Schizosaccharomyces pombe: one gene and its partner. The protein of the gene in region 1 purifies or fractionates together with the protein of each later gene. This does not show direct contact. Each region holds a gene or a part of one and is shown in the gene's direction. Other genes may lie near its edges.

What was found.
Region 2: the proteins of tht1 (region 1) and sey1 purify together in Schizosaccharomyces pombe (affinity purification with western blotting, with the first as the bait; one study listed by BioGRID). This does not show direct contact.

Annotation. Positions count from the first base shown.
Region 1 is NC_003424.3:425,527-430,897, forward strand, and holds tht1 (nuclear membrane protein Tht1), read left to right. Parts: upstream 1-1,946; 5' UTR 1,947-2,056; coding exon 2,057-2,417; exon of another isoform or gene 2,418-2,459; coding exon 2,460-3,064; intron 3,065-3,126; coding exon 3,127-3,792; 3' UTR 3,793-4,595; downstream 4,596-5,371. Other genes in the region: splicing-associated factor Dre4, read left to right, coding at 504-543, 580-796, 838-1,816; SPOM_SPAC13C5.04 (amidotransferase), read left to right, coding at 4,604-5,350. UniProt on the Schizosaccharomyces pombe protein: Required for nuclear membrane fusion during karyogamy.
Region 2 is NC_003424.3:973,157-978,732, reverse strand, and holds sey1 (GTP-binding protein Sey1), read left to right. Parts: upstream 1-1,994; 5' UTR 1,995-1,999; coding exon 2,000-2,156; exon of another isoform or gene 2,157-2,198; intron 2,199-2,269; coding exon 2,270-2,344; intron 2,345-2,402; coding exon 2,403-2,488; intron 2,489-2,595; coding exon 2,596-4,566; 3' UTR 4,567-4,890; downstream 4,891-5,576. Other genes in the region: meu13 (homologous-pairing protein 2), read right to left, coding at 96-400, 544-684, 727-828, 876-929, 976-1,024; SPOM_SPAC222.13C (6-phosphofructo-2-kinase), read left to right, coding at 5,492-5,576.

The DNA of each region.
Region 1 (5,371 bases):
ATCAGTGTAGGTTGCTAATAATTAAAATCTGCTTGTAAAAATATTTGAACCAGAGGAGTCAATACTAGTGTAAAAATGTAGCTGCTTACAAATACTTCCAGCCTGCCGTTTAACGATTTACCACGAGTTATGAATTGCTCGTAAATTTATGCGGGTTGTTGTAAATTGACAATATTAAAATTGAAGTTCTCGAAAATGTTTTATTATATTGTACTTGGTAGACCATTTCATTAACTTCTTATTTGTTCTAAAGGAAATACTTGGGAAGACGCTACGTGCGGTGCTGTTATGAGGTTTTTGTAGTATATTCAATAATGTTAACTACACCTATGAATTTATGCAATTTATACAGATTTTTTTTAATAGTTTGTAGAAATTTTTTTGTAATTGACATAACTATTCAGCTGGATTTTGCAAAACTGTTCTATCTATTCTCACACACACGCCCACTGAATACTACCTAACATAGTGTCGAACTTAACTTCTTGATTGTACATATCTTAATGTCACAGCCTTTGCCTCCTGGATGGACTGAACATAAAGGTAAATTTAATGAGCAGTTTATTTGCTAACTCATAGCACCCAGTGGGATTCCTTATTACTGGAATGCCGAGTTAAAAAAAAGCACTTACCAGCGCCCAAGTTTCATTGAGAAAAACCATTCATCTTCTGTTACTGCTTCGCAAGCTTCTTTGGCGTTTAACACAAGCGAAAAGCTGTTTGTTAATGAAAATGCTGAAGAGCGCAAAAATTCTCGAGATTTGAGGAAACAATTACCGGACAGACCAAAATTCAAGTATGTGAGGCGTAAAATTTTGTTATTAACTTTTTTTTTAGAAAAAGAATTCCTAATAATGATTCATGGGTGGTTGTTTTTACTAAGAAAAATCGGTATTTCTTTCACAATTTAAAAAGCCATGAATCATATTGGGAACCTCCTTTGGAAATTAGTAAAGACTTGAAGATATTACGTCTTCCGATACGGAAGCAAATCAGTAAAGATTCCTCACAGAGTCAGAACGTTGATAGTGGTAAAACCAACCACGAAGAAATACATGAATCTAGGCATTTACAAACAGAGATTGAAGAGCCCTCTGGTTTAGAAGAATCATCGGAGGAATCCGTTTTATATTCTGAAGAATTTTATGAAAAATCTGATGAAGAAGAGGATGAGGAAAAATCACACTCCGCTGAAGAGTTGGAGTTTGGTGAGGAAGATATTATGTATCAACTTCAACAATTGGATGATGAAACAGTTTCCTATGATATACAGGAACAAGCTACAAATTTATCTACTGATGATGCTAGAAGAGTATTTACTGAACTTTTGAAGGACAAAAACATCGGGGCATACCAACCGTGGGAACTAGTTTATCCAAAGTTATTAGACGATGATCGTTTTTACGTATTAGATTCGGGAGAGAGACGAAAAGAGGTGTTTGAGGAATATTGCAAGTCGGTGGTTTCTACCAAAAAAATTACGCGTAGAAAAAATACCTTATCGGATTTTTGGACTTTGCTTCATTCACTTCCATCTACCTTGCTATGGCCTCAATTTAAACGTAAATATAGAAAGTCGTCGACTCTTCAAATTCCAGGATATTCGGAACGTGATTTTGAGAAACTTTTCCGTGAGTTTCAGATTCTACGAAAACAGCCTATGCAGGACAAACTGTTAAATTTTAAAAAGCTATGCAAGTCAAAAACTGTAGATCCTAAAAACCCCGACGAATTCACAGAAAGCATACTTAATGACACACGATATGCCGTACTGACGCGTGAAGAACTGGATTCCTTGGCTTGTTCAAGTAATTAATGAATTTTTTATTAAATAGGTGCTTAGAGAATTTCTCATTTATTAATTTATTTGGAAAAAAATTATTTTTTTTCGCGTACTCTTTTAAGCAAGTAGTTTGTCGACGGGTGAGTTTCTTTGTTTACCATCTACTACAATTATGAAATTTCATCCGACGCGTCCTTTGGGTTATATTTCGAGTTTTTTATTATTATTTCTTTTTTCTTTACTAGTGAGTCTACCGGAGATGTAGAATCATTTATGAAATATTCGAATGTGGCCTTTTCCGAGGGGTTAGCCGGTTTTGATTCTTTAGCTCACGTATATCAAGCACTCTTGAAAAAATCCACTTGCTATCAGGAAGTTGCTGCAACTTTAATTTCCAAATGTAGCTTATTGAATACTGAGTTGACTATCGATAATCGAATTCACTCAGCCATTCAAATGACTCTTTGCGATTTTGAACGGTCTCAAATTTTGGCTCCTTCAGAATGCGTTCGTGGCTCGCAAAGTGAATGTGTATCGAAGTTGGAGTCAACTTCTACCTGGTGGCTTTCATTCACTAGTCACTTTCATGATGTAAATCACTTATGCCGGTTAGCAAATCTGGAAATGCAAAAAGGTAAACTTTAAATAAACTCTAACAAACTAACAATATAACAAGAATTATCAATCGAGGTGAATATGAATGTAACTCTTGTGCAAAAGCAATTTTTGGAAATGGTAATTTTGCATTTGCGAAACTTTGAGAGCGTGACAGATAAAATGAATCAACGTATTGATAAGTTTGATGGAAAATTTAATTCAGTTATCGAAAATTCTTTCAAAGATATCAACTTTCGTGTCAACCAAGAAATTATGGGCTTAGTCGAATTGCAAAACCATCAACAGGAAGGAATGGTACAACAAAAAGAAATACTAAGTACAATCAAACAACTAAAATCGGAAATATTTGATATAAACTCCTTTTTCGCTAATTTTATTGAAGAAAGTGCTGGTTATTCCAATAGTTTAATTGAAAAATTGAATGAAAAGTTTACCTCAGAAAATGCAATTGCTCTTTCCGCTATCGGCAAATATACCAGTGAGTTCTCTGCTTTTATGGAAAAAAGGATAAAAAATTTAATTACTACAACCGAGGATTCATTACAGCAATCAGTGCAATCCAACATCGATTTTGTTAACTCAGGTTTTCAACCGTTATACGATCTTACAATTCAATTGAAAGAGGAGCTTCAATCATTGAAACGTTTATCCTCTGAGCAACAGGTTAGTTTTACTTAATGGTTTTTATATTCATCGTTATTGCTTTGTCTAACAGTACTGTATAGAATTTGCAACACGAACAGATACTTCAATGGAAGTCAGACTTCTTAAATGTCAGTAAAGATCACCTTAAGGTACTTCAACAGTTAAGGCCTCTTATTGACATTGTTGAGAAGTTTATGAATGTATATTTTAAAGGATTGTCCAACATTATTAGCAGTTTTGCTTTTATAGGCTTCACGCTGTTCGCTACCTTAAGCAGTTTATTTTTCAAAGTTTTAAAAATACATCGCCGACCGATTATTGTATTCGGCTCCTTATCAATAATCTTTATTCATATTTACTGCTTTAAGATTACCTCATGGGTGAATCTTTACGGATGGATCACTTGCACTATTGCGCGAACTCTCTCGTTTATTAAATTAAATATCCGTACTTTCTATCTGACAGCATTTTTATGTGCTTTATTAAATTTTCTGCGATATCTAAAATACCGAAATTCCAAAAAAGATACGGAGCTATCTCTTTTCCTTCCAGCACCAGAGGAGTGCAATATATATCATAATGAACATATTCAAGTTCAAGAAGACAATTATCTATGCCCAATAGAAAACTCGTTAATCGACCTCTTTGGCTCTGAAAATAATAAGGAAAAACTGGGCAAACAGGAAAATGTTAGGTTTGCTTTCCTGAATAGTGAAAGTTTGGAGCAATCTCCATGGTGGGATTAGTCATCTTTCTAATTCGAATTAATAAATTCTACATCTTAAGAATCTTTTTTACTCGTTTTCATTCACATGACATCAAAGCGTGATGTGAACGAGCATTTCGACTTAGAGCAATTACCGATACCTGTATGATATGGTAGAAAATTTTAGGCGCATAAAAAATGTCAACGTGTATGACTATGTTTGAGTTAAAACAATTGAAGATTAATCCCTATGAAATACAAAACTCCTTGTTCATTATTTCCTAAAGTGGTGAACTATTACTATCAATATTTAGAGGACATTAAGTCATTTTCATGAACAATCATGCGATACATAAATCTGAACACCTGTTCCATCACCTTCTTCAACATCAATTTATTCAACTAATTGAAATGGATTAAACTTACTAAAAATATCTTATATTCAAACTTTTTGCAAATCGTTCTCTCTGTCATCACCTTAGCAAAAACCTTATTATACTAAGTAAGAAAATAACCGAAAAAGTCGAAGGCAAATAATTTTCTTCTTAATTGAAGTGGTACTAAAGGTTTTTGTGATCCAAACGATTATAATATGTTACGTAACGTTGACAAAAACAGTAGTTTACGAAATGGTTTATCTAGATTCTTCAGTGAATGTGAAATACTAGCTTAACGCCTGTCGTCAATTGCTTGACCATTTATCCCGTTTGTTCATTCATGCTACACACATGAGGACATAACGTAATTATAGCGGTTAGAACTCGCAAAATTCCTACATATATATACTACCCGTCTAGTTCATATTTTTTCCAAGGCTTTTATTTATCAACTAAAAAGATTTTAATTTGAAAATGGATTATCATATTGCGATTCTGAACGCAGATACACCAATGGTAGAAATCACCAGCGCATACGGTGATTATGCAGATATGGTTAAATCGTTGCTTCAATCAGGTTCCGAATATTATTCTACAGAATGGAACTTAGTTACCAAAACTTACGAGGTATATAAGAATCCAAACGATTATCCTCAAAAAGAAGATTTTCCAAATATAAACGCAATCATTATAACCGGCTCCAAAGCATCTGCAACAAGCGACGCTCCTTGGATAAAGAAATTGATAAGCTTTGTGAAAGACGTTTTATTTAAATACCCACATATTAAAATTGTAGGTCTCTGTTTTGGTCATCAAATCGTTGCCAAAGCTGCCGGCGTTCCTATTATTCAAAATCCTAAAGGATGGGAAGTTTCTTCTACTGTTGTTCAACTTACTGAAAACGGGGAGAAGTTCTTTGGTAGAAAAGTCATCAATATTAACCAAATGCATCAAGACATGGCAGTTGATGTTCCCGAAGGGTTTGAGCTATTGGGTTCTACTGAAGATTGTGAATTTCAAATATTTTACAAGCCTCGACAGGCACTAACATTTCAAGGACATCCAGAGTTTAGCACAGAAGTTGTCAATACGATGGTAAAAGTTCTCCGCGGAACTGAAGTATTTACCGAACAGCAAAAAGAAGAAGCATTGAAACGCTCAGAAAATCCAGCCGACAATGACTTCCTCGCGGTATCAATTGTTAAATTTCTTTTGGAATAAGTTAAATCTGTTATGACAAGA
Region 2 (5,576 bases), 550 kb from region 1:
TTATATTTAACTATGGATAATGACTTTTCTTTGAGCTATATAAATTTAATGATTAAAATGTTAAAAAGGGATCAGCTAAATTTAAAGTTAAGTTTTTAGTTTAAGTCAATTGGTCCCTCCGTTTCAAATCCCAGTTTTTCCCATAACTGCTTAGGGTTTTCCAAGGAATCAGTAATTAAATGCCATAAATCATAAAACATTTTCTTTCTGTTTGAGAATCCTTTTTTTGCAAAATCGTAGTTTTTATCAGTCTTTTGCATTGCTTCCTTGGAAATTTGTTTAACGGTACCATTTCGAAGAGATTCGAGTTTTGAGCTGGTTTCTTCAATTTCTTTATCAATGCTCTGAATTTTTTCACGAATTTCGGCTGGACTGAGTGAGTTATTTAAAGCTTGTAATTCTTTTAGAGTTAGCATAAAACAAGTGCTGTGTACGCTCAAAACAAATGAACGATACCATCAATAAAACTTTGATCTGTTTTAAATCATGCATATTATGTGAAGTATCATTCTACATTTTAAAGAATAGCATTTATTTACTGACCAATGCATTTCTCTTTGTATAGAGTTTTAACAACTGAAACCTCATCTTTTAGTTCTTGAATTTGCTTCTCCATTTCAGCCAATTCTTCAGGAGTAGCAGCTGCCAAGTCATCTTGAAGACAAACGAACACACTTTGTTTTCCTCAGTAATCGTTAGTAATCTGTTTAACTAATTTTTCAGTACCATATAGTTTCCCATGGATTAGTCCAGTGTCGCGTAGCTGCTCCAATGCTTTCTGCGCGACCTGTTTACTGACAACATTTTTCAAATTAGCACTAACGTCAGCTTTTAACAAAATTGTCAGCTTCGATTTTTTTAATGTATGTTCTTACTTGCAGAATAGGGACGATTCGTTTTTCGTAAATACTCGTAAACAAGTTTTTCAGCTGCGATTGATTAGCTGAATACCAATGCCTTTTGTCAATATTATACCTTCCTCTCCTTTAATAGGTTTCGCTTTTACTTCTTTCGCCTTAGCCATTTGCTACAATTGCGATGTGTGAGGAAAATAGTAAAAGCGCGATGTAGCATCAAACATTTATATATAATATTTACGCGTGGCGGAGACAACGCGTTTTCCCCAAGCCATTCTCCTTTGTTCTTAGCTAAACTAAGGAAGAAAATCCATGAGAAAGGATTTTAACTATTTTACGCACCTATATAAAGTACTCATAACGATGGGTTGAATTGCGCATCGTGTCAATGAAAGAAGGTTGCATAGGATAGTGAGACATTAGTACAAAGAATTCGATTCCTAAAGCTATGCTAGAAATTTTATTAAATTAAATAATTTCCAACCTTGCGAAGGGCTATATTATAGTATGTTTGTACTTTTTTAGCATATTCGGCAACGTCAAAAACACTTCACAAATTGAATGAAACCGATATCGTCGAATACTACGAAGCGCTTTTGAGAAACGTTTAAGCTACACTCTTGATTTTGCATCTAATACCTATTATTAAGTACTGTTCTCTGTAAACATACAAATCTGTTTCCTTTTTAGAAAAGCACAAATTTCCTGTCTGTAAATGCGATAAGTCTTTGAAGACCATTGTGAAAAGATTCAAAACAATGGCCGAATGACTCTTTAAAATACATTCCTTTCTTCAACTAAATCCTTGGTATTTTCTTTCTTTAAAAATCATAATTTTAACAAGAAAATATATGGAGCTAACAGACAAACATCTGAACATTCGCAGAGTAACTTAGTAAACATTAGAAAGGAAGAGCTAACGAGTGTTGTTATGCCATTGCTAGTTTACTATAGGAAAAGTATCATCTGTTTCATGATATTTATATAAACAAAATTATGCAAAACCTGTCTTTTTACAATAATTTAACTTAAATAGTTATATATTTGTTAATGAATACTGAAAATGTTGTCAGGATATATTACATCCTCGACATCACACTACCTTATATGTTTGTTAACTTGTCTTCCGCTTACACCAAAACATGAGTACTGCTTCCAATAGGGTTTCCACACAAATTGTGGATGAACATAAACAATTCAACAATGAATTACCAAAGTTTATGCAAAGCGTAGGACTGTTAGATGCTGGTTTCAACTATCATGTTGTTGCCGTTTTGGGTTCCCAATCTACTGGCAAGAGTAAGTAGATTAAAATCAACTTGAGAGTTCTATATCCAACCAATGTTATAACATCCTTTTAAATTGGATACTTAAAGCTTTCACTGAGCAAATTTGATTAACTCTATGATTAGGTACATTGCTAAATAATTTATTTGGGACTTCATTTTCAGTAATGGATGCTTCCAAAAGGCAACAAACTACTAAAGGTAAATCTATTATTTCTTTTTAATTAAAACATCTGAGCTTGCTGCTAATTTTTGTTAGGTATTTGGTTGTCGAAGGCAAACAATTCGCCTATTCTTGTAATGGATGTAGAAGGCACCGATGGTAGAGAGCGCGGTGAAGATCAGGTAAGATTTTAATGCGAACTAATTTGTTACTATTAGTTACACATTAGTATTTCCTTTACTCATAATTGATCAATATTTTCTTTTGGAGTCATTACTAACCAACCTAGGATTTTGAAAGAAAATCAGCTTTATTTTCCATTTCAACTAGTGAAGTAATTATCGTTAATATGTGGGAAAATCAGGTTGGTCTATACCAAGGCTCAAACATGGCATTACTTAAAACAGTACTAGAAGTCAATTTACAACTTTTTCATAACAAAAAAGAAAGGTGCTTGCTTCAATTTGTTATTCGGGATTTTTTGGGAAATACTTCAATGGAAAATTTAGCAGATACTATTATGACCGATTTGAATAACATTTGGGCATCCCTTTCGAAACCAGAAGGATTCGAAAATTCCGTAATTAATGACTTTTTTGATGTTGGCTTCACTGGTTTACCACATAAGATTTTATGTTCTGATGCTTTCAGTGAAGCTGTTGATAGTTTGCGTGAAAGATTTGTGGATAACAATAATTCTGATTACATATTTAATGTGAGTTATCATAAAAAAATCCCCGCTGATGGTTTTTCTCTTTATACTCGTGAGATATGGGACACCATTGAAAACAACAAGGACCTTGATTTACCTACACAACAGCAATTGCTTGCTCAATATCGTTGCGATGAGATTATTACTGAAGTAATGGAACCTTTTTCTACTGCTTGTACTATTTTACAAAAAGAGTTTTTACCCGGTAATTTATGCAAGGACCTTCCTACCAAGCTCTTAAACATGTTTGAAACTGTTATCGAAGCTTATGATCGACAGGCTAGTAGATACAACGTGCATATCTATCAAAAGAAAAAGCAGGAGCTTATTGCTTCGGTAGATTCTCATCTTTATGTATTTTTCCAAGCCCAGTTGAACGCTCTACACAAGGAGCTTATTAAATCATTTTTTGACGCCTCAAATGAATTTCCCTCTGATACGCCTTTTAAAGAATCATCTTCTATTAAAATTAACGAACTTGTCAACAAAATGCGTGAGGAAGGTGAATCTTTGTCTTTACCACATGTTCACTGGGATGTTGATCCATTTATTCTAAAATTATCGGAAGAGTTAACCCAAAATTCCGAAACGCTTTGTAAGGAAAAGTTGAAAGAGAAGTTGGAAGAGTTGTTTACTGGGTTCGAGTTTGAAGTTTCGGAAGCTGTTGAGGTCGCTTTCCAAAAACTTTCTCATAACGTTTGGGATACGCTTCTCAATGAATTCTTAGCTGCTCAAAATACTACTATTGAAAAAATAAAAAATATTGTTCCTTTTTATGTGGATATTGATGATACTAAAACAACGGAAGAATATATTATCAATTTTAAAAAGAACAGTTGGCTGTTTTTTAGAAAGAAAATTGATTCTGAAATGAGCGAGGTTTTACTACAGCAGCGTTTACGAGTTTATTTTGAAGAACTATTTCGATATGACAGTGATGGGATGCCAAAATTGTGGAAGAAGTCGGGAACGATTGACCGTGATTATCGGGAAAGTTTAACCAAAACGTTAGACTTGATCAACGTTTTGGCCTCTATTAAAGTTTCGGATGGCAATTATCCGGACTTGAACGTTGACATAAAGACTTTGGAGCCAGAGTATACCTCGCCAGCTTCATTTTTTACTATTCTAAATCGTAGACGTGTGTCCGACATATCTGTTAATTTCAAGAGATCTGCGGATTTGATATTTATGGACTGCAAACGTTCCGTAATCAATACAACCACCAGAATCCCCCCATACTTTTGGGTATTGCTAATAGTCCTTGGTTGGAATGAATTTATGGCTATTCTCCGCAATCCATTCGTTTTTATGATCCTTATGTTTGGAGGTACTGTGGTTTATGGTTTATATATTTCTGGCTTAATTTGGCCTGCGAAGATGGTTTTGGAACGGGCCACTAACAATCTGGTTGATTTAGCTACAGATAGATTTTCTAATACTTATCAAGAGCAAGTTCAACAAAGAGCTATGCAGAGGACCGAGAAAAGCGGTTCACCAGTTGCATCAGCCGATGACGCCGAAGCAGAAAAAACTGCGCTTTCATGATTCGTCTGCTATAAAGAATAACGAAATTGTGGCATTTAAAATTCACCTGTATAAATCGCTCACTGGATTTTTTTATTAAGTTACTGTCTGATTGATAGACTAATGTTTGAGCAATGATGAACCTATTAACCTGATATTTTACTATTGCTTCCTTTTCAGTTGCTGTAAAAAGTCACTGTCCTGGAACAATTGTATCGTTTATTTCAGTTCTAGGTAGCCTTACCACTTTGGTGTATGCTCAATCTCTATACTTAATGAAAAATGGTTTTACAGCTTGATCATGTACATATCCTGAATAATCTTAGTAATGTATAGTAACACATAATTGGTTTTATTGCAATTTCCATTGCTGCAATAAATGCATTGTTATTCTTCAACCTATACCAAGCATTTGAATTTTATAATTTAACTGCATTTTTTAGGCAATCGTTTACAGTGAAAAAATCTGCAGTTACGATAGTGCATGTAATGAGACTGTTTAAGAATGATTTTTTTTCGAAGATAGCATTTATTAGTGAATAAAGTTGGCCGAAGATATACTGAATGTCTGTACAAGAAAACCAAGTCGAATTTCTAGAACACAGTCAACTATGAATTAGTTTCAACCATATCAGCAACCATGAATTGTGATGTTGGTGTTAGAAATTTTCTGTAAGGACTTCATTCTGACGATGATTTCATTCTCGTCAGATCAATGTACCACCACGCCTAGAAGTGAGTGTGTATTTGCTAGGTTACTTGAATTTAAAGGAAACTATTAGCATTGAAGAATTGAATAGTCATTATCATTAGTCAACCCTTTTGAGTTAACAGTCAATAAGAAGGATTGGGAATTCACCATTCATTTTGGCTCTGCCAATTTTCGTTCAGTCATAAAACTCATCTAGAGAAATTTCTGCAAAGATTAAACGTGAGATTCTTTGCAATGTCTAATACAGGTTCCGCCCGTACTGAGGAATTTACCAAAGGAACTGGTTATGAGGCTACTAAACCCAACAACGATACTGACG